Lonchura striata: one gene and its partner. The protein of the gene in region 1 purifies or fractionates together with the protein of each later gene. This does not show direct contact. Links are inferred from orthologs where the notes say so. Each region holds a gene or a part of one and is shown on either strand. Other genes may lie near its edges.

Region 1 (14,952 bases):
ATTGGACATTGTTTCTTTCCTGTTCTACTTGGTTTTCCCTCTGTCTCATGACTTTATTCTCTCCTTTTATCCCTTAAGTACTTCTCTTGTGAGTGGTTAATATACCCACATGTGGAAATCTGTTTAAAATGGCATTAGGAAAGAGCTCTGTGTTTATTAGGAACACCAGCAGTTTGAGTCTGTTACTTTGCAGTATTTTGAACAGAAACATTTCAAAATGCTGATTCTTGGTGTGTTATAATTCTTTGAAATCCTCCAAAAAAAAAAAAAAAAAGATCCTTCCATAACTTTGGCTCCTTCTCTGTGTCCTGCAGGGCACCAGTTCCCTGTTCTGGAAGCTGGAGCGCTCGTTGGCCCAGTCCCGACAGATGCTGACTGATCTGGAGCTCAGCCTTCTCCACACAAGCATTCCCAAGACCAACAACATGAGTAAGGTACAGATTGCTCTCCCAGAACAAGGCTGAGGCCTCAGGAATACTGATTGGGAACATCCTTTCCCTTATGCTTGGCTTGCATTGCATTAGCAAAGCGTGAGGAGGATATTGGTTGTGAAGAGACAATTCCTGCTTGCCTTAGTGCTTGAATTTTTTATAGGATTCTGTTTGGCTGCTCAAGGTCATGACAGGATTTGACTCCTGCTTGTGTCTGAACAGATGGAAGGCAGAAGTCATTTTGGGGCAAGCTGCAGGAGGTCTAGAAAAAAGTGAACACTGATCTTTTTTGACTTGAAGCAAATTAGATGATTTCTCAGGCTCAGCACACACTCACTGCTTTGCTGTCCCAGAGACTCGCAGTCAGAACTGGTTTATTATTTTATTCATGGAAAGGAGGGCAGTGTAGGGAATATATAGGATACTTTGGGTGTGAATTTAAACCAGAAACTCAGCTTAAATAAAGGCAGAGTTCTTGTGTGTTAGTAGTTTTAGCTCCTTCATAGCAGGATCAGAGAATATATTCAGTGGTCAAAGAAAAGAACCTGTATGTAGCTGTCATGGCAGTTTATTTTATGAGCACAAGTGCTGATAAAGTTCCTGTTGAGTATTTGGGCAGCACAAGTAATCAGAGAAAGGGTCACTTGTTTAGTGGGTAAATATCCATAAGAATTTCTACCTTGTTTGACAAGGACATTGTACCTTTTGTCCCTAGCAATGAGCACACTTGTACTGGGGTATATCCCAAAGGGAGGATTTAGGCTCCTGGTTTCAGAGCAGTGCTGAACCCTCATCTTCTTCCTCACACATTTCACCTCCCTCTAAAAAGTTGCACTTCTTTTAGCCTTGGATGAACCTGACCAGAACAACGTTGCTGTAAGGAACAGACAAAGCCATTTTTATAACATTCAGAACCATAAACCCTTCGCTATGCTGGGCCTCACTGTAAAGGTTGTGTGCCAGCGTTTGCATAAACTGAAAGGATATTCTGTTCAGAAGTTCCTCTGCAGGATTTCATTCAGTGGCAAAGACAGCAGCAGTTTAGTCTTTTGCAAAGGCTCCTGAGTAGGAGGATTCCTGAAAAGCTCCCTGCACACAGTGCTTGCTTGTGGCTCTTGCCCAGCCCCATCAGCTGTCTGGCTCCTGCTCACTGCTTGGCACGTCACAGCACAGCTCAGCTCCTCCGTCTGCCCATGACTCTGCTTTAGGATCTGATGCTGCATTTTTGAGCTTGGAAATTGGCTTCTCCTTCAGTTTTAGTGGATATAAAATGAAGGAAACTCCTGTGTAGTGGCAGGAGCAAATCCTGAGCCACATTTGTGGAATCTTTGATCTACTTTCAGAGAAGTTCCGGGCAAAAACTCGTCAAGCATGTTTGAGTTAATCTATGTATAACCAGGCCAGCTAACCTGTGCTTAAAACCAGGCTTACCTGGGGCTGTTTTAAACTGAGCTTTAGAACAGAATAAATATGTGATACAGCCCTTAAAATTTAATCAGGGGGAAGTGGTACATGTTGGATTCTGTGCCCTGCTGGGACAGGGAGGAGAAGGGGGAATTAAGAGCTGTACCCCTGCTGCTCACCAGCTTGAACCTGGCAGCTCTGGAAATTTTATTCTCTGAGTCCTTTGATTTCCATGTAGTATTTTTACATTACAATAGAAACAACAGAACTTGCAGGAACTCTTCACAGAAGCCAGTTACCTGCTGCAGAAGAAAGAGATGCTAAGCTTCCTTTTTTTTTCTCTGTGATGTTCCCTGAGCATGGAAGTGTTTTCAGCTTGATCTTTTTTTGTTTGCTTCCCTCTTTATAAATGCATCTGCAATATTAATACACTTTATGGATTTTTGAGATGGGCCTGGCACAGGATTCTAAGTGCATTTCCAATAAAAGTCCTGTGAGTACTGTAACAGCAAACAGATATTAAGTCAGCAAGTAGTTCCTTTAGTCAAACAATTAAACTCTTGTGAAGTGTGTTCCTCATCCTTGGGGCAGTCAGATCTCACAGCTTCATTCCCCAGTACCTGTGCTCTCCTTATTGTAGTTAAAACCCTTCTGTGTGTTACAGATAACAGGATCAAGAATGTGAACATTGCTGAATGAGAGATTGGGAAGTTTTTTCCAGTGCCAAGGCCAAGGGCTGTTTTAGGATACTGTTCTTGGGCTCAGAGCCCCAAAAATAAAATGTATTGAATAGAGCTGTTTCAGAATATCCAAAGCAGCCTTGCCCACTGCAGATTGTTTTTTTTCTTTCTGAGTCAGGAAATTTCTCACTCTCTGATTATTTGTTCTCCTATTGTGGATTGGATGCTTGCAGTAGGCACCACCTTGTCTGGTTCTGAGGACAAAAGAGTAACCAGATATGGTTAAAATCCTGAACAGCACACAAAACTGAATAAGAACCAGCAACAATGAGGAGAAAAACTGGCAAAAAAAGAGAAACCTCTCAGTGCTGACACAGCCCAGGCTCGTGCCTGCAAAGGGAGGTTACCCCAGAGCCAGCTGGGCTGTGACACTGTGTGACTCCAGTTGTGGATCAGCCTCCAGCCCATGGGGAGCTGCTGCTCAGTTCTCTCTTGGGTATTCCAGCTGCAGTCCCTGAGCTGTTTGTGCCCTGGGGAGTCAGGCTGGCTGGCTGCACTCATGTTCTGCTGGTTCTGCATTAAGCCTGGAGTCACTGAGACTCCTCTGTGAGCCCGTGGGGACTGTGGAGTGCAGCTGATGGGGCACCTGGGGGAGATGGATGCTGAGCAGCTCGAGTGCCAAACTTTCCTCTGCTGTAACGTTCCTGTGCACAGAGAACTCTTCCTTTCCTGAAAAGAGCCCTGAGGTAAAAGCAGACAGAGGTTTTATAGGTTGGAGCCAGCACTGTGACTTGCATCCTGAAACCACTGATGTTACAAAGCTTCAGGAGCAAATCCCCAAAAGTGCTGAGCCCCGTGCTGAGGCAGCAGAGTGGGGAGAGCACGCTGAGCCTACAGAAATAATCACATTTGCCTCAAGTGAGAAAGAGCTGGTGGAACAAACATGCCACAATCCACTGCAGATCCATGACAAGAATGAGTGGTTCTCCAAGTCACTGGCTAATACATAATTTTCATTTTCTTTCTGTGTTAAAAAGCAACGAATCACTGTGATCAGTTAGATCTGAAGCAGAGCAGGCTCAGAAATAACCAAACATTTGTGCAGTTTCATATACAGAAGTGATTGAATTGATTTTGGTTGTGTTTGTTTGGTTTTAAATTGCTTTGAAACTCATTTGAGGGCAGGTGCACTGGCAAACATTAGGGCAATTTCCTCCCTAGCTGCCAGTAATTTAGCTATTCTCATCAGTCAGTTGTTTTGCCTCTAAGAGAGAGGTTGGAGGGGTGGGGGGAGTTGAAGAACTCAGGAGGAGAGAAGTTAGGAAAAGGCTATTTTCTTTTTTGGACACAGCAGCATGTGCCAGTGCTCATAAACGGTGACTCAGTGGCTGGCCTGGGGCACAAAGATCACTCCTTTCCTCAAAGCCAACTGGAAAGGTTTTATTTCCCAGCACCCCAGTGGTGGCCCTGAGACTGTTGCCTTTCTGTGAAGTACTTTGTTTACCTTTTCCTCTTTATAGTTTTACTCCATGTTCTTACTCTGTTTGCAGTGTGAAAATTTGTGTAATAAATTCACGTAAGTGTGATTGCTTCAGATATTTCAGAGGAAATGTTCCTGCTTTTTTCATTAAAATCTTTTCCTTTTTCTTCAGAGGAAAAAGTGTTTCCAACACAGAGGTAATACTGAGGACTGAAGATCATTGACCCAGCAGCTACAACAGAAAGTTACCTCATATTTTTCCTGTGGTTCCTCCTGAGTGTTTGAAAGACTCACAAGTGGCAAGAAGATGTGACTCTGCAAGAATGCATTTTATCTTGAAATAAAACACAGAATTACACCAAGATTAACAAAGCTATTTTTACAGCTGAGAGCTCAGGTTAAACACTAGCTTATTTTTTAAGAATCTGAAGTGTGTAATTGTTACAACATAGGAACTATTTTTCTTTTTTTTTTTTTATGGTGGCTCAGAAATATTTATAGACTATGACACAGCCAAGCAATCTCCTTTTTTTTTTTTAGCACATTGTTTTTGTTCTGGATTTCTTGCCTTGTAGAGAGAGATGAATAATGTTTATAGGAAGTTCCTAATTAGTGTTGTAAGCAGGAACTGCCTCCGATGTTGCTGAAATGGGAGAACTGTCACCCTCAAGGTGGGCAGAACATCTTTCCACACTCAGGAGCTGGTTTTCCAACAAAAGTCTATGGGATCAGGTGTGTATGGCCTCTGTTTGCACTGTAGAGGTAGCCAAGTATGATGTAACCTTTTTTTAGCATTTAAACTGGATTTATGTTTGCTGATTGGGCAAGATGTGCTGTTATCACAATTTGAACTTCTTTTTTAATGTAGAGATCAAATAATCTGATAAAGGTGATACTTTGCTGTGTCTCTCTTGCCCATTTAACACATTTAGCACTTGATTTCTGACATTTCTCAGCAGACATGAGTGGGCTGCCCAGTCCTGTGTAGATTTGGGAGCACTTTGGGACACCAGTGCCCCTCCCACAGCCCTGTGCCAGCATTTTTCCTGCTGGGGGGAGCCAAGGGTGGGAGTTTCTGCTCCATCCAGTGCCACCAATTATTGCTGAGAAACACAACATTCCGTGGAGTCTCCTTGTTAACTCTTTCATTTCATTTTCTGCTTTCTCTTTAATTACTCCAGTGACAGCCTTTCCTGCAGGTATTAATGGCCCTAGAATTAGGTGGCCAGTTCTGATGAGAGCTGCTGTTCTCCAGACTCTTTCCCTGCCTGCTCACCAGCATTACCCACAGAGGGAAGCTCAGCTGCTCCAGCTCTTTCCAAGTTTCCTCAAGCCTTTACAGTGCATTTATTCCTCTACCTGCATAGAACCTTCTCAGGCTCCATCCTCGCAATCTCCTGCTGTGGGTATGACAAGAATTCCCCCTAAAAAGCCAGTGATGACAATGCCATGATGCTCACCCTGAAGCTGTCCAGCAGCTACACAGAGAAATTGGTGCAACTTCCAAGCAGCAGCTGCATTTAAATGGTTTTGAGGTTATTGGATCAACTCACTGAGTTTAAACCCCTGGAGAGTTTAAAATGATGACTTTAAGATCAATATAGAAAACTGAGCTCAAGCGATGCATCAAGGATCTGCAGAGCCTTAGGATTTTGTGTCGGGGCTGCCCTGGATTTGTAGAATGGGAAGAAGGGGAATAACTGTTAATTTATTCAGCACTAAGTGACTTAAAGCCCAACTACATTATTGACCACACTCTGGTGCTCAAATGGAAACGCTTCAAACTCGGTGCCTTAATTCTGGAAGCAGCTCAAATACTCCAGGGAGCCCTTTGCTATTGTATCCTTGGTTTGAATTATTATTTAAAGACAACAAAGCTCCTGTTCAGCCACGGCCTTTCCGCAGGGTGGGTGCGAGCTCCGGTCATTGACTTTGGTAACGGGAATCGGTGCTGGAGCTCCGGTGCGAGTGCAGTGGGAGAGGGGTGAAATGGGCGCTGAGAAGGGACGGTCGCGCTGGCGGTGACCGCTGTTCCTGGTGCTTCCTGAGCTGGGCAAGCACCTCGGTGCCTGGTGCCTCGGGGGGCTGCTAAGGGACGTGTCCCTCGCTCCGTGTCCCCTCTCCGTGTTCGTGTCCCCTCCCCGTGTCCCCTCTCTGCCCGTGTCCCCTCTCCGTGTCCGTGTCCCCTCCCCGTGTCTCCTCTCTGTCCGTGTCCCCTCCCCGTGTCCCCTCTCCGTGTCCGTGTCCCTTCCCCGTGTCTGCTCTCCGTGTCCCCTCTCTGTCCGTGTCCCCTCTCCGTGTCCGTGTCCCTTCCCCGTGTCTGCTCTCCGTGTCCCCTCTCTGTCCGTGTCCCCTCTCCGTGTCCGTGTCCCTTCCCCGTGTCTGCTCTCCGTGTCCCCTCTCTGTCCGTGTCCCCTCTCCGTGTCCCCTCTCCGTGTCCCCTCCCCGTGTCCCCTCTCTGCCCGTGTCCCCTCTCTGTGTCCGTGTCCCCTCTCTGTCCGTGTCCCCTCTCCGTGTCCCTTCCCCGTGTCCGTGTCCCCTCCCCGTGTCCCCTCTCTGTCCGTGTCCCCTCCCCGTGTCCGTGTCCCCTCCCCGTGTCCGTGTCCCCTCCCCGTGTCCGTGTCCCCTCTCTGTCCGTGTCCCCTCCCCGTGTCCCCTCTCCGTGTCCTCTCTCTGTCCGTGTCTCCTCTCTCTGCCCGTGTCCCCTCTCTGCCCGTGTCCCCCCGGGGCTCTCGGTCCCACCTGCCCGCGGGGGGAGCGGCGCTGCAGTTCCGAGCGTGGCCGCTGGGGGCGCGGCGGCGCGCGGCGCAGTGCGCGGCCGGGAGGGGCGGGGGCGGGCGGCGCCGGTCGCTCCTGCCCGGAGCGCGGAGCCCCGAGCGCGGGCACCGGAGCCTGGATACCGGAGCCTGGCTACCGGAGCGGGGAGCTCCCAGCGCGGCCCACCATGAACAGCATCAAGAGCGTGCCGGCGCGGGTGCTGAGCCGCCGCGGCGGGCACAGCCTGGAGGCGGAGCGGGAACAGTTCGACAAGAGCCAGGCAAGGACAGCGGGAGGGGGCGGCGGGGCCGCGGGACCGGCCGCGGTTACGGTCCCGGTTTTAGTCCCGGTCCTGTTCCCGGCTCGGGGACGGGGCAGGCCGGCCCTTTCCGCGGGGCATCGCGTCGGGGCGCGCTGAGCGCGGGGGTTTCTCGGGCGATGGGATGAGACGGGATGGGGGGCGCAGGTCCCGGCCGCGCTCCGGGGAAGCCCCGGTGGGGCAGCGGGGCCGCCGCACCTCTGCCCGTCCCCGTGTCCGCCCGTCCGTCCCCGGTGCCGCCGCCGCGCGCTCCCCCTCCCCCACCTGCGCCGCCGCTTCCTCCCGGCGCGGCCGCGGGACGGTCCCGCGTGGGCACCCGCCCGTCCCGCCGCCCCGCGCCCGTCCCCGGGCCGCGGCCCCGCCGTGCGCCGCCGCTCCCGCGGGCAGCCGGGCCCCGCGCACCCCGCGCCTCCCGGGCCTTACCGCAGGTCAACACGGCCGGCAGCACACGGGGAAAGTTTTGCGGTGCTGGCGGCAGCGCGGCCGAGCCCGGGGACTCCGCGGCAGCCCCGCGCCCCGGGAATGGGCATCTCCGCATCCCTGCCTAGCCCCGGCCCCACCGGCACCGGGGGATGTTTCGCACCGGAGTTGGATCCACCCCTACCCCGCGGCTCCGGGTCACCCGCGGGTCACCCTGCGGGGATCGGGGTGTTTGGACCCACGGACGGTGGCAGAGTGGAAACAAAGCCCAAAGGCGTTCGTGCTCCATCGTGTCCGGCTTGGCGGGGGTGTCCGTGCTCCTGTAGACCCCACGGGGTGGGCAATGCTCGGGCACTGATGGGGCCGGCATATGGCTGGGGGGAAACGAACTACTCAGACAGCGTGGGCAGGGATGGGCAGAGGGATGGACAGAGTGACGGGCTCGCTGCTGCCCCAGCAAAAATAACAGTGCCCTGCCGCATGCCTCCTCTGACCCCTCTGCTTTTGCAGGCTGTGCATTCATCGCAGATGTTTTCCCCTCTGCCCCTTTGCTTTGCGGTTCCTTCCTCAGGCCCTGGGCTGGTTTGGCCCCGGAGAGCGCCAGTGAAGGCAGGTGGGAATTTCAGGCCTCGCAGGGTCACGGTGCTGGGTAGGAAACGGAGCTTTTGCCGTGTCTGGGGAGCAACACGAGAAAACCGGCAATTCCGGTTCCCTCTGGACGCGTCTCCTTCAGTCGGCCCGCTGGGCACCGCTGGTGAACGCTGCCCCGTGCCCAGCACGAACGGGGCCCCGCTCCCCCCGGCCTTCCAGGGCACTTGGGGCTTTTCACTGGGATTTGTGCTCTGGAGATCCGCGCAGTCACAGGGATGCTGTGAGCGGAGATGTGGACACGGAAAAGAGGTGGTTGCTCGCTGGCTGATGGTCACATTCCCTGCCCAGAACTGCTAAAAACTGTCCTAAAGGAGCTTTATCCTGGTGTGGTTTCCTGTAGTGGTGCTTCGGTGAGAGCAGAACTGTTCAGTGTCAGAACGTGGGTATTGATCTGCCTTTTACCTCTAATTATAGCAGCTGCCCAGTTGGCCGCCAGTCACCTCTGTGTCACGGGGGTGCTGGTGGCATGTCCCCTCCTTGTCTCTGTGTCACGGGGGTGCTGGTGGCACGTCCCCTCCTTGTCTCTGTGTCACGGGGGTGCTGGTGGCACGTCCCCTCCTTGTCTCTGTGTCACAGGGGTGCTGCTGGCACGTCACCTCCTTGTCTCTGTGTCACAGGGGTGCTGCTGGCACATCCCCTCTGTTGCCTGAGGATTCTGTACCAGAGTCCAGAGCCCCATCACCTTTTCCCCTGTGAGGGCTCAGGTGATGTCTGTGGTTACAGACAGGAGTTGCTGGCCCTGCTGTGATCCCAGGTCCTTGTGGGTGACGTGAAGGTCACCTGCTTTCCCTGAAAATGCTTTTCCATATTTTGTGTCAGGGTGATTTAATGTTCCCCTCGGAGAAGCCGTGCATGGGAAGTAGGAAATCATCCCACAGCAGGCGCTTGCTCGGCAGCCTTGCAGGAGGAAAAACTTGCCCGTTTTTGCTTTTCTTAAAGAAAAAGGTTAAAAATCCAATGAGCTCTGGAACCTGCAGGATTGCATTGTGTGTGACTGCCAAGTGGTGTTTTCCTGGTGTAATTTGGAAAGGAGCAGCATTAGGAAGGGAACTCTGGAGTTCATAGCTCAGCTGTTCTGACAGCTCTCGGACTGCCTGGCCAGGGAGGTTTCCAGCTGCCAAATAATCCCGTGCTGGAACCCGGCATCCACTGCCCGGAGGGGATTGGGCCCCGGTGGGATGCCGGGGCTCTGGGGAGCCGTGGGCGGGAGGATCAGCCCTAATTAAAAGCAGCCAGGAATGAAAGGGTGGATGTTAAACTGCGCTCCTTCATTTGGGCGCTTTGATCCCGGCTTTAGTCAGCGGCTTGGTACGTGCGGGCTGTGAGCAAAGCTGGGGCTGCAGCCCTGTGGGATCCCACAGCCCACGGCCCGGCAGGTTTTGGGCTTGGCTCCTCACCCAGTTGGCCTGCCAGTGGTGGGGAACAGTCCACAGGTTGCATCAAAGTTTTGGCCAGGCTGATTGTGCACCTGCAGTGACAGCCAGGACCTGCCCATCTCCGGACGTGCCAGCGGTGTCCCAAGAGGTTGGGTCAAGGGTGAATCTCCCCGTTTTGGAGCCATCCTCCACAGCCTGGCTTTGCCAGACAGCCAGCAGGAGCATCCTGTCAGCACACGTGTGCCAGGCTGCAGCATTGCCCCATGCTGGTGCCACCAATCCCATTTTCCTGGATCTCCTGGCAAGCTTGATGCTTGGAGGCAGGGAAAGCACACGTGGGCTGCCCAGAGGGACTGGCATTGGTTTGGTGCCACCATGGTTTTTTTGGGACCATGCTGGACCCATGCTTGTGGTGGTGCTGTGGGTGGGCTGGGGCTGACCCTGCATGTCCATGTGCTGGACATGAAATGGCTCAATGAAACTTCTGCACTGAATCCCCAAGGATGAAACCAACCTCTCCAGCAGCTCCTGGGCTGAATTTTGGCTGGTCAGGCTATCAGTGAGACTAAGGGCAGTAAATGCAATAAAACCACCACTGCCACTGGGAATTACAGCTCTGTTCTGGGACAGACCAGCAGGGTCTCAGCTCAATGAGCAGCTGAGGTCCTGTCCCTGGAGATAGGGGACAACATTTCCTTTCCTGGGGGTCTGCCCATCTCACACTTTGACCCTTCTGGCTGCGCCTCCTCCAACCCCCGTGGGGTTCAGGTTCCATGGATGGGTTGGGATGAGCGTGATGGGCTGGGACAGGCCTGTCTTAGGGCAGGCAGTAAAACTTCCAGTTTGGGAGGTGTGTCTGCCCTTCTCCCTCTATGCAAAACACCTCAGGAAAGATGCTGTAACTCCTTCAGCAGCTCTTCACTATAAATGCATTTCCAAATCCTTCCTTGCCTGGTCCAGGATAAACCATCCTTTCTGTCAGCATCCCGTGGGAGGTGCTGGCATCCCTGAGGACCTGTGGCACATCTCTCTGGCCAAGCTGCCATCGAGGGCACAGCCTCTGCCAGCTCCAGGCTTTTGGGTGGCTGTGAGGGCACTTTTGGAGAGGCAGCTGTGCTGCAAGTGCCTGTTCCTGGGCACTCCAGGCTCGTTAACCTTTGGGGATAAGAGGATTACAGCAAGTCACCGGCTTAACTCCACTGCTGCTTTACGGCCCCACATGGCGGGGTAACACCGGGACTCTCCTGGTGCAGGAAAGGCAAAGCAGCTGGACTCAGCCTTTTGGGACAGGTTCACTCTTTGGGAACATTCAGAGTTTTGCTGCTGTCATGGTCAGTTTGTGGGTAAGCTGTTCTGGACTCTTTTGGGGTGAGTTTGGTGCATGGACACCTTTGACGTTGTCTCTTCGGTGTTGGGTTCCTCCTGCATAAGTCAGGAGCACTCGATAACTCGGGGTCAGGTTCCTCCTCCTACAGGAAAGCACTTCCATTTCAGAGGTGTCCCTGGACAAGCAGCCTTGTGGAAGCAGGTGCTTTCCTGGGCAGGTAGATAGGATTTTTATGAGGTTTTAGGGCTGTGGAGCTGCAGGGAGGGACCGAGTTGCTCTTCCAGCACAAGTGCTGCCAGCGAGGCGCCTTCCTGCCTTCCCAGCTGGGACCTTTTTCCTCTGCTGGTGACAGAGGGCTCATGGACACAGGCACAGCCCAAGCACTCCTGCGAGGGTGAAGCAGCTCAGCTGAGTCTGAGGAGGAGGAAAAAGATCCTCATCAAATACAGCAACTTGGATTTGCAGCCCATCAACACGTGGGGGATGCAACCGACCCCACTCTGGGGTCATCTTCTGGAATAAATTCCTAATTTAAAGTCTGCTGTGATCAAACACATCAAAACATAGATAATCCTCTTCTGATAATCACATTGCTCTGGATTTTTGCTCCATCAAGATGGGCATTGAGGCTGCCACTCCCTTCTTGCTTGGGGGCTGCTTTTCCCCATGTGCTGTTTGCACACAGCAACATCCTCAGAAGAACCCAAACCACTCCCCCGTGGTTCAAAGGCTCCTTGTGATTACACAAACAACCCTGGAATTTGGCATCTCACTATTGTGCTTTAATGTTCCCCAGGCACGGCGCTGAGTTCAGGCTGCAAAAATGCAAAAATTGGTTTCCTGGGACAGGGACAGCCGGGAGCACCAACAGCAGTGGTCAGATCCTGCTGGGGATGGGGGCTTTAATGGATGTTTTGTTTGTGGATAAAAAGGCCTATTCTGATGTGTTAAAAATGACTTTGAGGTGACAAATGTGTTCTAAAATTCAGGGTATTCCCCAGGATCATTAGCATGTCAGGGTGTGGGGTAGCCATGAGGATCACACCGTGTCTGACAGCCACTCTCCCCTCCTCTTGCAGGCCATCAGCATCAGCAAAGCCATAAACACACAGGAAGCACCAGTGAAGGAGAAACATGCCCGCCGTATCCTTTTCCTTGGCTCCCAGGACAGCACAGAGGAGTTTGGGATTTGGGGGTGTCACCCCTGATGCTGGAGCCACAGGAGATTTGGGAGACAAAGATCCGTGCTGGGGGCTGGCATCACGGAAGTTCATCCATCAGTGAAAAGGCAGACGAGCAGTGCAATAAAATTGCATTTCTTTGGCAGTAAAATGCAGAGAGCCCCATTGTGCCCTCAGCAGGGGGAGGTGCACCCAAAAATGACAACTGGGGGTTTTGTTTGGGGGTGCAGCGCTGTGCCGGTGATCCCTGTGCTCATGGGGCACCCAGCGTCCCCTTTTCAGTGAAAGCTGAACAGGAACAGTCCCCAGCCTGTCCCCTGCTCTGTGTGTGTCCAGTTGGCCTTGACTGCCCTGGAAGGGATCATCCTGGGCACACACCACGAGAAGGGAGCGTTCACCTTCTGGTCCTACGCCATCGGGCTGCCCCTGCCCAGCAGTGCCATCCTCAGCTGGAAGTTCTGCCACGTCCTGCACAAGGTCCTGCGTGATGGCCACCCCAACGTGAGTGTCCCCTCTGTGTGTCCCTCCTGCTTCGTTCCCAGGGGGAAGTTCTGGCTCTTGCCAGCATCCCTCGGCACAGGGAGTGGGATCCCTTCCCTACCCCAGCCACCTTCCCCAGGCGCTCTGTTGTCTCACACCTTTGAAACTCCCCTGTGTAAATCCCCAACCTTTGGGTGCTGAGGGAAGTCTGGAACTTCTCCCAGAGCTGGAGTGATGTAAGGGGCTGGATCCCTCCTCTTCCCCAGCATCAGGGCAGAAAACCAGCCCCACTGTGCCACATCCTTCCCTTTTGTGTCGCCAGGTTCTCCAGGACTGCCAGAGGTACCGCAGCAACATCCGAGAGACGGGAGACCTGTGGGTGAGTGGGGCACAGTGCAGGCTTGTGCCTCCCAAGGGGTGTGGAGATGGTTGCTGAGGAACACTGTGAGCACAGAGAGGGTGAAGCGCTGCCTGAAACAGCCTGCTGTCTCTTTGGGTGATGGTTGTGTGCATGGTGAAGCCACAGGCTTGTGTGGGATCTGCTGGGTGTGGTCACCTCACTCTGGATTCTCCATCTCCCCTGTGTCTCTGCAGGGCCATTTGCACGACAGGTACGGGCAGCTGGTGAGCATCTACACACGGCTCCTGCTCACCAAGATCTCCTTCCATGTCAAGGTGAGACCTCTGTTGCCTCCACACCTCCAGAACGAGGGGATGTGCCATGCCAGAAGCAGCTGATGGCTTTTTCCTTCCTTTTGCAAAGCATCCCGAGTTCCCCCCGGGCCTCGAAGTGTCGGATGAGGTGCTGGAAAAGACCGCAGGGACGGATGTGAACAACATGTGAGTGTCCTGGTGGGGCCCAGAGCCCAGGCTGTGGTCACCAGCTCCATGACCCCCAGCTGGCAGTGTCCTGCTGACAAAACCATCCCAGGATGGGGCAGTCACCAGGGTTTTGTGAATTGTTTGGACGGTGCCCGATCCCTCTGCACCCACAGAGCACTGTGGGGTGTAAATGCAGGGAGAAAAAGCCACACATTCTTGTCAGTCAGAGCCCTTGCCATCATGAGGACTCTCCATGAACACGAGCAGCTGGAGCAAAGATGTCTCTGCTCTCAAGTGATGGAGTTTTGGTTTGTTTTGGCAGCTTCCAGCTGACGGTCGAGCTGTTTGACTACCTGGACTGTGAGCTGAAGCTGTCGGAGTCAGGTGAGGAGGCGGCAGGGGCAGGTCCCTCCCGCTCGCCCGGGGCTCTTGAGCAATAGTTTCACTCTCTGGTCGGGAATGGAGTTCCGGGAGGCTCAGGTTCCTCTTCCTCCTCCCATGAGATTTCTGAGGTGGTTTCTCAGCTGGATTCCCCCATTGAAGCTCTGTAGAGGCGGTTGTAGGAAAATACTTAGAGCATGTGGCTGCTTTGAACCCACCTGAGCAAGGCAGAGTGTTGTTTTCAGAGCAGAGCTGCTCTGAAATATGTTTCTATTTCTTTTTTGTACAACCACATTAATCATATCTATTACACAAATCCCTTCTGTCCCTCTGAAGCAGAGGATGGGGCTGTACTTTTTTTTAAAGACTCATTTCCCCTAATTGAAATGCCTTCAGGGAGGGCTGGAGGCCCCTGCTCCTGTCTCTCACCTCCTTAGGAATTTTTAGAGAGGTGGCAGATTCTTCCTCTGCCGAGAGTCAGGAACACGGAGCTGCCCTGGAAAACGGCACAGCGGGAGAGACCAAGCTCCCAACAGCCTCCTGCTTCTCCTCCTGACCCAGTTATACAGAGAATTTATATTCATAAATACTTTAAAGCTGAGCAGGGAAGAAGCCAGGGTGGATATGCTGCCTGGATCCCTGCCAAGGGAAGGGATCTGTTTCCGAGCAGGGGCAGGCGAGGCTGCGGTGCCGCCGGGCTCGTCCCCTGCCCTGGCATCCTCTCCCAGATCCTTGCATGATTAAATAGAATGGAGCAAAACCTCTCACTTTCCCCAGCTGTGTCGTGCAGCGGCAGCTTTAGGGCAGCACCCTGGGGTTAAATCCCTCCTTTTTGGGGTTGGGGTATCCGCAGCAGAGCCGAGCACCCTTTCCCTGTGCCAGCGTGGTCCCTTGGCTGTTTTTGCTGCTGGAGCAGGGTTGTTCTCAGCTCAGGCAGCAGCCCTGGCGTTTCCCCGTGCCCCACATCCGCCGTGGTTAATGATCAAGCGGGCGGCCGGGCGCAGGCGGCTCTGCAAACACGGCTCCCCTCAGTTTTCAGGCAGCTCAACACCTCGATGGCCGTGTCGCAGATGTCGGCGGTGCAGTGCCGCCTGGCCCCCCTCATCCAGGTCATCCAGGACTGCAGCCACCTCTACCACTACTCCGTCAAGTTAATGTTCAAGCTGCACTCCTGTGAGTCCCGGGGATGTGCTCCGTGCTGGTGTTTTCCTGGGATGGGCCTCTGGGTCTGGGGATGAGGCTG
Region 2 (15,375 bases), on another chromosome or scaffold:
GCAAGGGAAACTCAGTCCTCTGAAAGGATCAGCTGTACTTAATAGGAAACAAAATTATCTGGCCTAGAGAAACCCCAAGGGATGTGGCAATTTAGAAAAGTTCTGCAGGTAGCTGTTTCTTCCAAAACCATGAAATGTTATATCTGGGAATGAGGCAGTCTTCATCATAAAATTCCTGAAGAAAAAAAAAAATTCTAAAGACAAAAAAATGCCACTAAAAGGAAATTTGATATCTGTCTGCATAGAGCCCTCTCATACAGGGGCCACTGTTACTCCCAGGTTAACCTGGGCTGTCTACAGAAAAGTGAATGGGGAGAGCAGCTGCCACAAGAACTAATTTAATGAATATCCTCCTCACCCTACTACCAGGAATTTGAACTGCACTTTAAAACAATAAAGCTTTGCAGGGAGGGTAGCAATGTCCTTCCTCAAGAAATTTCTCTGGATTCAATCCTCACTGCCTCAGTGAAACTTAAAAATCTTGTTACCTTGCTGTAACAGGACTGTTTCAAAAACCGCATCTGATTTCATCATTAGTTTTCTAATTGGGTTTTTTTTTAAGTTTTCCATGAGAGTTTCTTTGCTTAAGGATGCACATCTGAGAATGACAGAATTCTCCTCTAAAATTTCTGCAAGAAAGTATCTGCTTAGTAAGACACTAAAGTTCCATCATACACAAGCAGATACTACATCTAGTCTACATTTTTTAAGCACATGTTTACTCCATTGAAGTTTGTTTCTGTTTAATAAAACACTTATCCCCATCATAATATTATACATCTAACCTAATCAAAACCCTTTTAATGCAAATGGGCACATAGAAATTAAAAAGTGGTGGGTTTCAATATCTTGACTATGGAAAATGTTCACTCCAGTTGAAATACCTTGAGATTTCATTTGCCATGAAAGACTGGATTCCCAAATGAACAGAACAGTCCATAGGGGATGATGTTAATCTCTATCAGTAAGAGCACCAGAATTTGGCCAAAGGACCTCACTGATTTCTTCAAGTAAGTAGTTTTCTTCATAGTTTTCATGTCACTGAGAATCACTTTCTCTAGATTTTGTTTCTTTCAGTAACCCACAACTTTAAAATTATGCTCTTGTGTTCTACTAAAATATGTGTGCTAATCTCTGGTAAACCACCATATTTGATTTAGTTGAATATGTTTTGGTAACATTTTAAGTAAGCACAGTTAGTTCATGTGCCAAGTATTACATTTTTTCATTCCCCACAAAATCAGGACAAACTGTACATCTCCTGCTGTGTCTGAAGCTGATTTGGCTAACTTTCAGCTATGTTAATTAAAGAATTCAGCAATCCTATTTTAATCTGATTTTAAAATACTACAGATACACTGCTGGCAATTTTGCTTGTTTTGATGCAAAATTACTTTAATACAAAAAAAGTTCAGTAGTTCACTTTATGCTATTAATTTTCACATCTATGCACAGATACCTGCTATAATGCTAAGAGGTGTCAATCAATTACAAAGATTTATCAAATCCACTTTCAGGATAAGGTTTAGGAATACAGATTTGGATAAACGTCACTAAACAGAACATCATGCAACAGAGGAGGAGGTAAAAAAAAGAATACAAATGAGAAGGTTCAAAGGTCTTTCTTGAGCAAAACTGACTGCAATATCAAAAAGTTCTGGTTTGAAAAGAATGTTTCTAATGTTTTTGAAAACTTGGGTTAGCTATTTAATGAACTATTTACTAAATAAAGTTTATTAGCAATAATCGTTTCAGCCAATGGACTGTAAAATATTGCAGTGATTGCTATAATGTTCTAAGAGTAAAATGGTTTTGTTAATTTGAAAATAAAAGTATTGAGATCAGGCAGGCACTAAATTTCCAGCACCAACTCTCTACTCTTCACCTATACAATTTATTTCTATTCTGCATTAGTATTGCTGGCCATACTCATAGATTAGGGGGACAAAACTTACTCTGTTTGAAGTCAGTGGGCATTTTGCCATAGATTCAATAGGAACAGAATTTGGCATCTGAAAGTATACTGCCATGTGATGAAATATGAACCTGCAAAGTATTTGATTTGTGGTTTTACCTGCCAAGAAAACATTACTGTTTTCTTTGAAACTGTTTTTAGTAAAATATTCTTTTAGCATCTGATCTTTCAGGTCAACAAGATGTTGCACAGACTATGTATCTTCTCTTTTCTCCAATTGTGTTATTAATCTGAATAAGTTCAATGCATCTGATATCCATTTTTGCTCTTTATCATTCACTGTTTTTTGGTTGTGAGGGTTAAAAAACACAGGTAACCAGAATCATTATCATCTTGCTTTTTTAGTTCTTCCTGGGTTTCAGCTGCTATTGCGATGCTCAAAGTCTTTAGGAATGCACAGGCTCTCTTGAAGAATATTAGAAGTGAATACCAACACATGCAGGGCTACCGTTTGAATTGAGAAAATCCCAGTGCAATTTGAGAGACTGTAATACTTTCTTTTGGATCATTACTCCTTCTTTACTCCTCTGGTAGCAAGAACTGCCAACATGTCTGGATTTCCATTGAAAAGGGATGCTGTATGAAAGGCAAAGGTAGGCTTAATTGATTACTGAAAGCCCATGGAAGTGGTACAAAGAGAAGAAGCGGGAAGGTGAATGCATCAGAAACACAAATCTTCTACTACCCTTTATTCCTGCCTTCAGAAAAAAAGTGACCATTAAAAACTGTGGTGATTTTGTGATCCATAGAAAGCGAGTTTGTTGGCCTGCAGCCAGTTGCCAGTGAAGAGATCCACATCAAACAGCTTTCAACACAGTGGGTGACTTATGATCTGAAGTCACAGAAGTTTGTTGCCAGATTCACTTGTAGCTTTAAACCAATACAGATTTATTGGGAGGTTACCAAGGAAATTTTACCCTTCTTGTAACCCCTCTCCCACTCCACTGGTGTAGTGCTAGCAATTCCCTTGTTCCCGGAGGGGATAACATCTCATCCCCTTTCTGGCCCCTCAACACTAGCCACAAGCAGTGGGGAGTTGTAGAGAAAGCACAGCGTGAGTCAGGACTGTGAGTATGCATTCTTCTGCATTTGGCCCTCCACTGTGGGATCTCCTCAAGGCCATTGAGTTGTCAGAAAGGTGGGTGCCTGACATAGAGTTGTGAAGGGAGTGCTATGTCCCTGATATTAACATCTGACCTGCATCTGTCCCTGGTTTCAGTGGAGAAGACAAGCAAAATCCAATCACTTCTAGACAAGGTTTGTGGTGGAAGCATGTCATCAAGACACTGTGCCACTGCTACTAAGAAAGTATTGCCTTTTGAGTTCTAAGTAATACAACTAGGAAACACAGGATGACAAGAAGGCGAGACCATTCATTCTGATATTACTCACAGTTCTTTGCTTCTCAGATCCTGAAAAAGAAAGCAATTTTAAATTGCCATTAACTTATTTTTTATGCATTTCCTTAATTTTACTAAATAGAAAGCACTTTCATTTTTGTACTTGTGTGTACTGGAATGAATTAGGACAAATCCTTTATGGATTTTTAGATTTAGAATAGCTTATACACCATCAGAATGTTAGGAGGAATTTATTTAGTGTTCTTTTCAGTGCAGTAGTTTGATTTAATCAGCATGAAGTCTTGCCCACATGTAAATGCAGTCACTGACCCCTGAAGCACAGAGCCAAACACCGATAGCCTGACTCACTCCAGTGGGCAAGATTCAGATTTCACATAAAGACCAGAGAGTAGAACTATCCATACAGAGCTTGAAATCAACTCATTGGCATAAATGGATTTATTTGCTTCAGGAAGAAAACCAGGATTTACTTTTACTGCACAGACCTGATAATGAGAATACTTTTCATATGTAGGCTTTCTTCTGGGTGAGAAGTCCCATTCAAGTCAGCATTGGCAAGCCCCAGCTATTTACTCTCTATAGTTGGCATTGCCAGCATCAACATTTTTGTTTCAGCTCCACATCAAAATTCATGTGGGTGTAAAGCTTTCCCAGACACAGAGCATGAGCACATGATCCTCAACATTAATGAGGGTATTGATTAAGCTCTGCTGCACATATATGTGCTAAAGACTGTGAGTCTAAGCACCAATTTTAGCTTGGCAGCAATGGCTGTTCCACTGATACACTGCCAGTCAGTTTGCTTATATCTTTCCTTAAAAATATTCCTTTGGGCTGGAGTGTGCTCTGCTTGCTTTTGGCTCAAAGGTGACTGAAGGAAATGATAGGGGCTGCTTCCAAGTTACAGGAGCCCAAAAGGAATGCAGTTCCTCCTGTACTTGCCCTGCTGTCTTGGTGTTTGTGAACTGGCAGGGGAGTGAAATGAATGACAGTGCCCTCTCAAAGGTGCCCAGAGAAGGATTCTTATCAAATGCTGTCTCCTGCCAAGTCTCACAAACACTGCCAGCCTGCAATGATGGGGAGGAGCATTTGGCAACAAGGCCCTAGGCTTTCGACATCAAACTAGGAAGAAGGGATGAAGTGTCACTAGCAGGGATGGGGCCACTTTTTTTTCCTGTATGACAGATGGCCCACAGAAATTTTGGGGAAGTGTATAGGTGCACTTACCATGCTGGTGAAGCTGTGTTGTAAGGTTTGCTTTTCCTTATTCAGTATCTGATTGAGCTACTGTGAGAGTTCCCATTGCCAAGAAAGGATGTGTAAAAAACCACAGTAGGAAAGAGCAGCAGCAGGAGTGCATTAAGAATGTTTGCTGATGGGCAGTGCATGGCAGGTGGAGAAGACAGTAGGCCTCTTGTTCTTCAGAGGTGTCAGTGTTTGACACACCCACTGGGAAGTGTGAACAAAATGTAAGTAAGCTTGTTTCCTTTCTCTCTCACACTCAAAGACATTTACTATGTGCATTTGTCAGCCAAGTAGGAATCCTGCTTATACCCTAAATGACACAATCAATCTTGCAGTGTGCAAGTTTCATCTCAGGACAAGGAGAGAAAAGTGTTAGAACACACAAGAGGATTCGGAAGCATCATATTTGTTGTCCACGTCTACTTAGATACTCTCATGAAGCCTGGGAGCTCCTACACAGATATCCTGCTCCTAAGTGAATAAAATTAGTTCTATTGCTCCCCTCCTGTGCAATGGCACTGACTTATTTTTGTCCCTTCCTATGTGTTTTTCTCATGTCAAAATTACATTAGCTTTTGGACAGCTGCTTTCTTTATTGACAAAGTCAGCTTCTTTTCAGGGAACAGCACTGCAAGGGACATTGACTACTAGATAACTGGAGCTGCATGAGAAGGTAACACAAGCTGCAGAGCTTAGAATACTGTGTATGAGGAAGGAAATTGGATATTTGCCTTACAGAGAGAGGCACAAAATAGGAATGTAAAAGGAACAAAAGAAACATGAAAGCTGTCACTATTTCCAGAAAGAGGGAAGAAAATTGGGAAAGAGGTCTCTCATTCACTATGGACTTGAGGAAGTTGTCTTTGCAAGGAGTGAGTTGGAATAGATGTGAGGATAGTGTGGAGCTTGAAGAAACACAGGTGATACAAGAGGAATGCAGAGCAGGAAATGAATGTTCCTGTTTCAGTGGGGAAATTCTGGATAGACTTAGGGTGGGTAATTGGATGAACAAGAGTGATGTATTTGAAACAGGAATTAACATGAAATAATGATCATTAGGAAAGGAAGGAGCTGGATACAAGCGAAGCAAAAGGAAAACCTGTGAAGAAGCACATTTGGAGTAGTGAAGAGGTATATCACTTTAATAAGTATCCTAATTACACTGTGATTCATTACTATTTTGAAATATTCCAGATTGCAGTGATCAGTGATCTGGTTGCCTCATTTCCTTCTAGCCAAGCAATGTGGACACCTTGCCTATCTCTGTTGGCTTCTGGTCTTGTTGGCAGCATGAATAAGTAACAGGAACCATACTCCTGGAATACTTAATTTCATTGTGCCACTAACAAGTGTTATTTTAACCATAATTTTTCTTTTTTCTATTCTACTTTTCTCTATCTTCTTAGAGGCATTACTGGAAAAAGTTCATTATTGTCTATAAAATTATTTTATTAAGTTGCTATGGTGATACAATTGATATTGAATTCTTACTATAGTCACAGAAAACCAACATTGGGTAAATCTTTGCCGAACTCTTTGAACATGGTTTTGAAATTAATACATTGGAGTTAAACTGGCACAGTTCTACTAGGCTGGGCAAAATCAGGCTACTCAAAAAGTGCATCACTAACTGTAGATTTCTGCATATATTCAGGGAGTGGCCTGGTTCTAGCTGTGCAGCTGCTCTGGAGTTCTCTGTTGCCAGAGGTGCACAAGCAATGGACCGTATAGTGGCCACAGACATGGACAAATGTCATAGAGAGCTACACTGGGGGAGCTGGTGTTTTCTATTTCCTGCAGTCTATTCTACATCTTATGTCTACTCAAACAGATGCTGAGTTCCTGGAGCGGACATCAAAACCACCTTCCCTGAAACCTGGGGAAAATACTATAACCCTTAAGAGCAAATGAAACCGCAGTGATCCTTTAAATAGGTCATGTGGAACATCTGGATTGTAACTTATTTCCAAATAATTTATACAACAGTGATAGGGCATTTCCCAACCTTACATAGGTGGCTTTGCTACCTTTGCTTTTCCACCCCATTGCCTCCTTGCTCCATCACATTTCCCTTCAGTTGTTCCATCTCTATTTCAAACTTATTCTTTCTTTTCAACTTTTCTTCACTAGACCCCTTAGCTTCCCAAATTATGGTTGATAGGGTTTTTTTGTTGTTGTTAGCAGATATGGCCTCAAATCCTTGGTAATGAGTCTGCAACAGTTTATCAGCATATGTTCAGCTTTGTTCCTCACTAGTTTTCTGGCTCAGATGGGCTGATTTCTAATAGACCTGAAATTCAGCCAAAACACCTGGCTTAGATCTGAAGCTAATTAGCAGTGCCCCCAAACCATGGATCTCCTAGTAGTGCTTCCATGAAGCAAGGAGGAAGAGCATGGCTGCCAGCAGCACTGGGAACACCAAATCACCCTGGTGGAATGCAGGCATTACAGTGTGACAGGCACCTCACCGAGTGGAAATGACATTGTTGCAAGAAAATGATATACATAATAAATTACAGAGGTCATGCTGAGGCTAGGTTTTCAGTACTATACAATACACATGGGAAGAAAAATATCTGATAGCTTGTTTGTCCTTCCAGGATAGCTGAATATCAGCTAAATACCATCAATATCGGAGAGCTTGTGAATGCATGATACAGCATTTTCACAAGAGTTAGATCCAGATTCTGGAAGAACTTTTCACAAGAGAAAAGAATGTTGTTTAGGTTTACTGCTTCACTAAACATAGGACTCCTGTGTCTGGAGTAGTTTCTCTTTAGATATGTACTCCTTCTCCTTCCTCTTTTCATTCTCAAGCACACCCAGGCACACAAACAAAAACAAATGAGTTATAAGCTAATCAAACTTGTTTTCTCCAGGTTGGAAAGGAAAAGAGATAATATTTTGATTTCAATTTCCAAATCTTTGGGAGGTGCTCAGATATTATCTATCATAGTGCTTCAAGCTTCTTGCTGCAATGGCATTGTCTCCCAAGCAATTAAAAACCAACAAATAATTATCAAAATACATTTTGCTATCAGTTCTTTCATCCATTTCTGCTTATGCACAAGCAGAATTTTTAACTGTGGAGTAAAACTGTGAGTTTTCTGTGAACAAGAACAGCTGTAAAAAAGGCAAAATTTATTTTTAGTTTTGGACCTTTAAGATCGAGGTCACTTTTTGTTCCCTTAGGAATCAGATATTTTGTCCAAATCTGGTCTCAGTAACTCCTAGAGTCACAAGCTTCCTCTGTTTGGATAGTTTCACTGCTCTTGGAGAAAGTGACAGGCATCATCTAAGAACAACTTGATGGAGCCTAACTTACTCAGGCCAATTCAATGGAATTTCTCCAGATAGCAGCTTGAAATGGAATGTTGAAATCCAGGCCCTAGCTGAAGTTAGTATTAAAAATACCAATGTGTGTTGCTCTATCAGTAGCCTATAGCAGCCCCTGTGCTTCCACAGTGTGAAGCTTTATGCTAAAGCTGTCTTAAGCCAGAGTCTGCTGCTGTATACATCAGTGATTTATTTCTCCAGCATGGATGTCCCCATGTCCTCAGCATGGGAGTCCTAAAGCAGGTCAGGAGGAGCCAAGAAGTGCAAATACAATATCCTCAAAGACCTTGGCATTATAAAGAAAGCAAATTCTACATCTTGCTAGCCTTCCTTACACACACACAAGTGGCACTATTTGGGTTCAGCTTTCACCAGATGTTCTTCTTCTGACACCAATTTTCCTTATACATTATAAACAGATAATCCTACTTACACATCCTGTCAGGCAGACAGAGCTGAGTGTCATTTGTATACTCCTTCTCTTTAAACTGCCCAATAAATATTTCAGTGGCTGCATGGATGGGGGACACTTACAAGACAGCTTCTCAGGAGTCTCTTCTGGGAGAGGAAGAACTTTGTGGAATCCTGTGCTATTCACTGCTGTGTGTTTGGGGAGGAGGAGAAGAGTCCTGCTGCAAGGGGCAATGGAGGGCGCAGATAGCTGGAGGCTGGGGCGGCGCTTGGGCAGCGGGAGCTAAGGATGCCCAGCAGCCGCTCCTCACCGTCTGTCGCTGGGATACGCGTAGCCGGGTTTGCAGCTGTAGGTACCAGGCTGCGAGAAGGCACCTTAAGGAAGTTTCTGATTTTTATGAACAAAACCCAAGTAACTTCGCACAAATCCCAGGCTGCCAAGGGCAGAGCCACCGAGTAAGTTCAAGAAGCTGGCTAGCAGAACAGTGGGAGGCAAATCGCGAAAGATCTGAAAACCTCCAGTATTTTTATCCTAGCCATGATGTGCATTCGAGAAGTTTTTGGGGAGCTTACAAATAAAAACAACTCCGAAGAGAAGCCCGATCGCAGCAACCAGCCGGCCCCGAAACCTTGGCTGCCTAAGAACAGATTATTTTTTTCCCTTTGAGCTTTCCCTAGCCTTAGGTGACACCAAAGGAGCTTCCACAAAACCTTTGCAGGCTGAGAAATACAAAATTACTTCCTTCAGGGGCGGAGACACCCCCCACTCCCCCACTCGCTCCACGGGGACTTTACCCGGCTCTGAACCCGAACAGGGGCGCACCGAATCTCCCGAGCGGAGATCCCAGAGGCACGGGAGTCTCCGCAGAGGGAAGGGCGGCCAGGGGCTGAGTGGGCGGCCAGGGGTGAGGAGGCTGCCCAGGGGCTGAGGAGGCTGCCCGGGGCTGAGGAGGCTGCCCGGGGCTGAGGGGGCTGCCCGGGGGTGAGGGGGCTGCCCGGGGGTGAGGGGGCTGCCCGGGGCTGAGGGGGCTGCCCGGGGGTGAGGAGGCTGCCCAGGGGCTGAGGAGGCTGCCCGGGGCTGAGGAGGCTGCCCGGGGGTGAGGGGGCTGCCCGGGGGTGAGGAGGCTGCCCAGGGGCTGAGGGGGCTGCCAAGGGGCTGAGGGGGCTGCCCGGGGGTGAGGGGGCTGCCCGGGGCTGAGGGGGCTGCCCGGGGGCGCCGCGGGAAGCGCTCCCTGCCTGAGGAGCGGCTCCCGCCCCCTGCGCGCTCCCGCGGCGCTGAGGGGGGCGGCGCGTGCCGCGCGGGCGGGGCGGCGGGCGGTCACGTGACGCGGGAGAGGCCCGGCAAGGCCCGAGGAGGAGCTCGGCCGCCGCCATTTTCCTGCGGCGCCCAGTGCGTGTCCCTGGCCCCGGCCGGGCGGGCGCGCAGGGGGAGGGGACGGCGGCCGGGGGAGGGGGGCGGGAGGAGGAGGAGGAGGAGGAGGAGGAGGAGGGGTCCCTGCTCGGGTGACAGGTCCGTCCCTGAGGGCGGAGCGGGGGCCGCCTGCGGCACGGCGGGGTGAGGAGCCCGCGCAGCTCCATCCCCCCGGCGACTCCTCCCGTCCCGGCCCCTGAGGAGGGAGCGGAGCCGCGCTCGGTTCCAGCGCCGCCAGCGAACCCGCCATGTCCGGCCAAAGCCTCACCGACCGCATCACGGCGGCGCAGCACAGCGTGACCGGCTCGGCCGTCTCGAAAACCGTGTGCAAGGCCACGACCCACGAGGTGATGGGCCCCAAGAAGAAGCACCTGGACTGTGAGTACCGGCGGCAGCGGCGGCCTGAGGGATCTCCCCGAGCGTCCCGCCGAGGAGCGGGATTGCCCGGCCTGCCCCGGGGTCCGCTGTGGGGCTGCTGCCCATCCCACCGGCCTCGTGGGGACGGGAAGCCTCCTCAGGCGGAGGAGCTCGGGGTTTCAGCATAGGGCATAGCCTGAGGGCGGGGGCGTAGGGTCGGGGACGTGGCGATGGAGAGCTTGGGAGAGGCTGTTCAGTATATCTGCTCTCCAAAAGGGGCCTTGCCAGTCTTCTTTATGCATAGAGTCCCGGACAACGTGAGCTCCTGAAGGACAGGACCTGCCCCATACCCCTTTCTTAGGGGGAGAGAGAGAACCACGGAGGCCAGGCAGAGGAATGGGCTGCAATTTCCTCACTAATTGGTCTCATTTGCGTCGTGCTAGGGCAGCACTCCCCCATTCTCTAGAGGAGGTGCAGGAGTTTCAGGAAGGAATAGCTCATCAGTTATCTTAATTATTTTCCAGGTAATCTACCAGGAGGGAAAAAAAAAAAAAAAAAAAACAACCTTCTTTAACAATCATGTAAATCTTCCATGGAGAAAAATATGTGAAACGACTGAGGGGAAAATCTCTCTGTGAGGATGTTCTTAGTCTTCTTTTTAGTCTGTCTCATTCACTTGGGAAGATGAATCTAAGGGGACTTCTTTAGAACTTCAGTAAAGCTGGATCCAATAGTCTTAGCATACCATACAGGGTCTAGCCATTTTTCAGCTTCTATTAAGAACAGATCAAAGGTGGAAAGGCTCAAAAGGTTTTCTATCACCTGTGATTATGAAGAGAATGATGAGCATCAAAGTTCACACTAGCGTTTCTTCCACTAAGCTGTGAAGTTGCAGGACTGAGGAAGTTATTGGTCTGAAAATCTGATTGTCTTGCATCTGTTTATTCTAGGCCTTTTAAGGATGGCCCCCTCTGCCCCCTCCCTTTCACTTTCCCAAATACATATTAAAGATATTGGTGAGATCTGTGTGTCTATGCCTTCTATATGTGTGCTTGCTCCCTTCCTCACACCCACGTCTGCAGGAGAAGGTTGAGTCTTCATGTGTCTTGAGTTTGTGCCTCCTGAATTGTTCTGTATCCAAATGAAAACACCAGATGATAGTAGTAGGATTAATTGTACTGTGGTTCTTTCTTCTTTCCACCAAAATGTGTGCATGTTAAAGGTTTAAGAAATTCTTGTTCTGCAAGTACCTGGGAGCAAAGTAATTAATTTTTTACGGTAGCCTCAGAATTCATTTTTTAGCTGCCTCTCTCTTTTTTGGTATTCCCTCATTCATTACATCTTTTGGTGGAAGATGATAGTAACTGAGTGGTCTTGTTAGATTTGGTTAACTAAGGGAGTCAGAACACTGAGGAAATCTTTGGGCTTTGAGTAACTTCTTGGCAGGTAGAGAAAACACCTTGTCATATGGCGTATGTATGAAATCGTGATGTTACTGGATTTCACACACAAGTGAGGCTTTCTAGAAAACAAACTTTGCCAGGTTTAGCCTGTAGTTGTGCTAAAAGTACAGTTTCAATACTAAGGCTTTTAGGAGCTGAATTATTTTGTGGTATAAGCTTTGTTGAAAAGAATATGAAGATGGTCAGAAAACTGCTCTTCCGGTGGGGATGTGTGTGTGTGTAAAAGGGTGATATTCTGAACAGGGCTGCTGGGAGACAACCTAATGGAGACCTCCAGGGTGCTGCTGCAGAAGAGTGCCTGGACTTCCTTAGAAAGCTATCTGGTAGTTGCTGGATAAGAAGAGCAATTCTGTGTTTCCTTTTTCTACTCCAGACTGTCAGGAGTCTGTTAGTTTCTGCCTCTCTCTGAGAATATTTATCAAAGCCAAGCAAACTTGATTTTTTAAGTAGTCCCTCTTTTTAGTGGCTAAAATAGATCATGGCTAGATGTTTTGTACCCTAATATGTTTGTTAAAAGTCTCTGTTCTGGCATCAGGAAATGACACACAGTCTTGTATTTTGAACTTTTTCTTTGTTCATACCCTTTATGGTTGTATGCTTTAAAATAAATATTTTTTACACAAGCTGTGACTCAAGCCCCACTTCTCAACTGTTTGTACATATCTTCCTTTCACAACAAACAGTTTAACTTGGTAAGGCCTATGAAGTGACGGCTCATTGTAAATTACAATTAATATACCTGTCTTCATAGGCAACATGCTGCCTTAATATTTTTCTGATTATTGCTTATTGTGATAATACAGGTAAACTTGCTATAGGTTGTGTCCTGGTGAGTGGATAAGTTGAGTTTTCCCATACTGCATTAGTTTTGTAGCATGTTCTGTGACCATGACATACATTCTTGTTAGTTGATTTCTTGTACAGATCTCAAGATTTCCGAGTCCTCTTACTGACATTCTTTCTTCATTAGGCTTGAGCTATCACAAACAGATTTAACTAGCTCAGCCTCAAGTTAACTCATAAAAATGGAGGGAAGTCTGACATAGGAATATAAGTTCATGAGTATCTGTTCTTATTTATCTTGCTCCTGATAGTGTGTGGAGTTTGAAGTGCTCTCCATCCTAGATTACCTCTCTTTTGCTCAGCGATGGTTATCTTTATCAAGGAAGTTAAAAAGGAATTTTTTTCCTTAGCTCATGGTGGTTAAAATGTAATATACTTCAAAGAATGTTTTCTCTCCCATTACAAAGCTTAGTTGTTTGGTTTGAGGGAGAAAGACTTCTAATTTACAAGTGGATATGGCTTGTGATAGGTAGTAACATCATCAAGGCTATATACTTGAATCCATGATACTGTTTTTTTCTTCAGTTTTGAAGGTCCAGCCTTAGAACTTAGAGCTGGGATAAGAATTCTGTTTGGTAGTCTGAATGCTGCTTTTGTTGTGATGGATTACTTGTTTTACAGAAATCAAGTTTAGTAGTCTTGGAACCCTCGAAGAATAGTTCATTAATTTCTTTTATGGAAAACCTAGTTTCACTAGGACTTTGTCCCAGTTTTTACACCTATCTTAGCAGTGGGAGCTCTAAACTGCTTTGTGGTTTTAACTTGTATGTGGAGATTGGTACAACCCTTTCTTTCTCGTTAGTTTTTTTGTCCTCACATTGAGTGTTGGATAGTGATGCTAAGAACAAGTGCTTTAGGTTGTTCGAGTATAAATGGTTCTGGGAGACTTGTTGCTAGATTTCACTCCTTCTTTTCATGATTCTGAGAGGATGGTGTGCTTGTGTTTGTGTGGTGGATAATTAATATTAGGAATACCTGAAGTTAATGCCTAGTAAATTTCACTGGGTTGGTTTTGTGAAGCTGTTGTAGCAGCGATTGCTCAGTAGCTTAAAAATGTTTGTGTACATGTGTGTGTTGTGGAGTGGACTTAAAACAGCTTTGTTGTGATAGACATTTAGGGTTGGCCTCTTCAATGAGTGTGGCATAGTAGCCCTATCTGCTTGTAGCTAATGGAGTAGCCCTCTTTAAATGAGAATGTGGACGGATGACTTGGAAGGAAGTTGTGATGCTGTAATTACCCATTCTGAACAGGAAATATCTCTATAATTAAGCCAGAGTGTAATTTCCTTGATTTCTTATTGTGAAAGAAAATGTGTATTTTTAAGGAAGACAGTAAGCCAGAACCCTGCCCTGTGTTGGGTAGGTGTCTGTGAGAAGCTGTGTAAGTGAAAGTAAACTTGAAGGAGCTTGTTGGGAACTTGATTCCTAATACACTAATGTTAGCTGCTTTGGTTTTGTCTAGAGGCTACTACTAGGATAGAGAAAGGCCCAGCTAAAGACTTGCTCCATGTCTGTGCTGAGGACAGGTTCTGTTTCAAGCTGAGATGGTATAAAGAGGGTAACTTGTAGAACTGAGGGACAAGGATCATTGCTTTTCCCTGGATCACCCGAGATTTGTAGAAAAGCTGGGAAAACCACCATTGTAATGGTTCACTTGCCTTTACATGCTGAAGTGTAACTGGGTGATGAGGTGAATTAACTCCTAGTTCTGTGGATACTTTTGTGTTCTCCAGTAGAAACAGAAACACATTCCTTTTATGGTATTTTTGTGCTTCAACAAACTCATGTTTTGTCTCTGGTTTTGGCAGAATCACCTGAAGTTTCTTGCAGCTTTGCTTCCCTTTCTGTAATTGACTTAAATTTCTGGAGGCAATCCATTATTATTTTTGCTTAGAAATATTCTTTGTAACTGTAATTATTTCAAATACAGATAATTGCATTATTGCAACTTTCTTTTGAAGTATTCAGTTTTCTCTCTGAGTCTTTTCTCTGATTCCTTCATAGTTTCTTTCTTTAGCCAACTTTCTTATTTTTTACTGGAATTCCTTTGGAATATTTGCTCATGGCTTTTAGTAGAGTATGAGAACTATCATACTCCTCCTGTCTGCCAGAGGGACAATTTTCTACTACAGCTGCTCATTTGCAGAAAGACTAGCTATGTAGTTGTGCAGCTGTTGTTTTATTTTACTTAGCCTGAAGCAATATTCTGCTTCAGATGAAGTAAGAGGCAGGAGCTAAGGAGGAGAAGCTGTAGGACACCTGCAATCAGCTTCCTGTGAATCTTCATACCACTATTGTTTCCCAGTAGCAGTGATTATTCAGGTCTCATGTAACTTTGGGCTATAGCCCTAGTTGAGATTTTTTTTTAACGATATTTTTTTTTTAATGGTGCTGTCGTCTCTTGCATTTACGAAAAGGGACGCTTAGGAGAAGCACAGACATGGAGCAAGTCTTTTGCAGTTCACCCTGTGACCTAATGATCTATTTCAGTCTTCAGTTCCTAATCTTAAAAACAGTTTTTGATTTGTAGATGTGAAAGTTTTAATTTGTCCCTAATGACTTGTCTCACAAAGTAATGGTAATTTGCATAATAATACAAGAGATGACTTATCCAATATGGAATTTAAAGCTTCCTGACTTTTGCATTTGTTGCCTTATGTAAAGTACATGATTTGTTGATGATGGTAGAATTCTGGGAAAGTTCACTTAGAAAACGTTACTGATGTCTCACTCCTTCTGGAAAATGCAACATTATTTCTGAAGCTGAGACTCCTTTTGTATTTGAAAGCTTGATTTATTAAACAGCTTTCTTAAATTGAAATTTCTAACTACTTTTAAAACAATTCCAGTCAAAACATCTCGCACATCAATTAATGCTTTAAAAATAACACATAGTAGCTTTACTGCTGGTGGGATATGTCCACTTCTTTGTAAACTGAAGTAGCTGTTTCTCAAGCATGAGACTAGAAATCA

What was found.
Region 2: the proteins of HIP1R (region 1) and PICALM fractionate together in Homo sapiens (co-fractionation; 3 studies listed by BioGRID and IntAct, with this or other methods). This does not show direct contact. The link is inferred for Lonchura striata from reciprocal best matches to the Homo sapiens genes HIP1R and PICALM.

Annotation. Positions count from the first base shown.
Region 1 is NC_134620.1:12,763,236-12,778,187, forward strand, and holds the start of HIP1R (huntingtin-interacting protein 1-related protein), read left to right. Parts: upstream 1-6,817; 5' UTR 6,818-6,939; coding exon 6,940-7,032; intron 7,033-11,924; coding exon 11,925-11,988; intron 11,989-12,384; coding exon 12,385-12,527; intron 12,528-12,828; coding exon 12,829-12,885; intron 12,886-13,100; coding exon 13,101-13,181; intron 13,182-13,269; coding exon 13,270-13,346; intron 13,347-13,650; coding exon 13,651-13,712; intron 13,713-14,741; coding exon 14,742-14,882; intron 14,883-14,952. UniProt on the Homo sapiens protein: Component of clathrin-coated pits and vesicles, that may link the endocytic machinery to the actin cytoskeleton. Binds 3-phosphoinositides (via ENTH domain).
Region 2 is NC_134604.1:34,887,258-34,902,632, forward strand, and holds the start of PICALM (phosphatidylinositol-binding clathrin assembly protein), read left to right. Parts: upstream 1-9,807; 5' UTR 9,808-9,987; coding exon 9,988-10,117; intron 10,118-15,375. UniProt on the Homo sapiens protein: Cytoplasmic adapter protein that plays a critical role in clathrin-mediated endocytosis which is important in processes such as internalization of cell receptors, synaptic transmission or removal of apoptotic cells.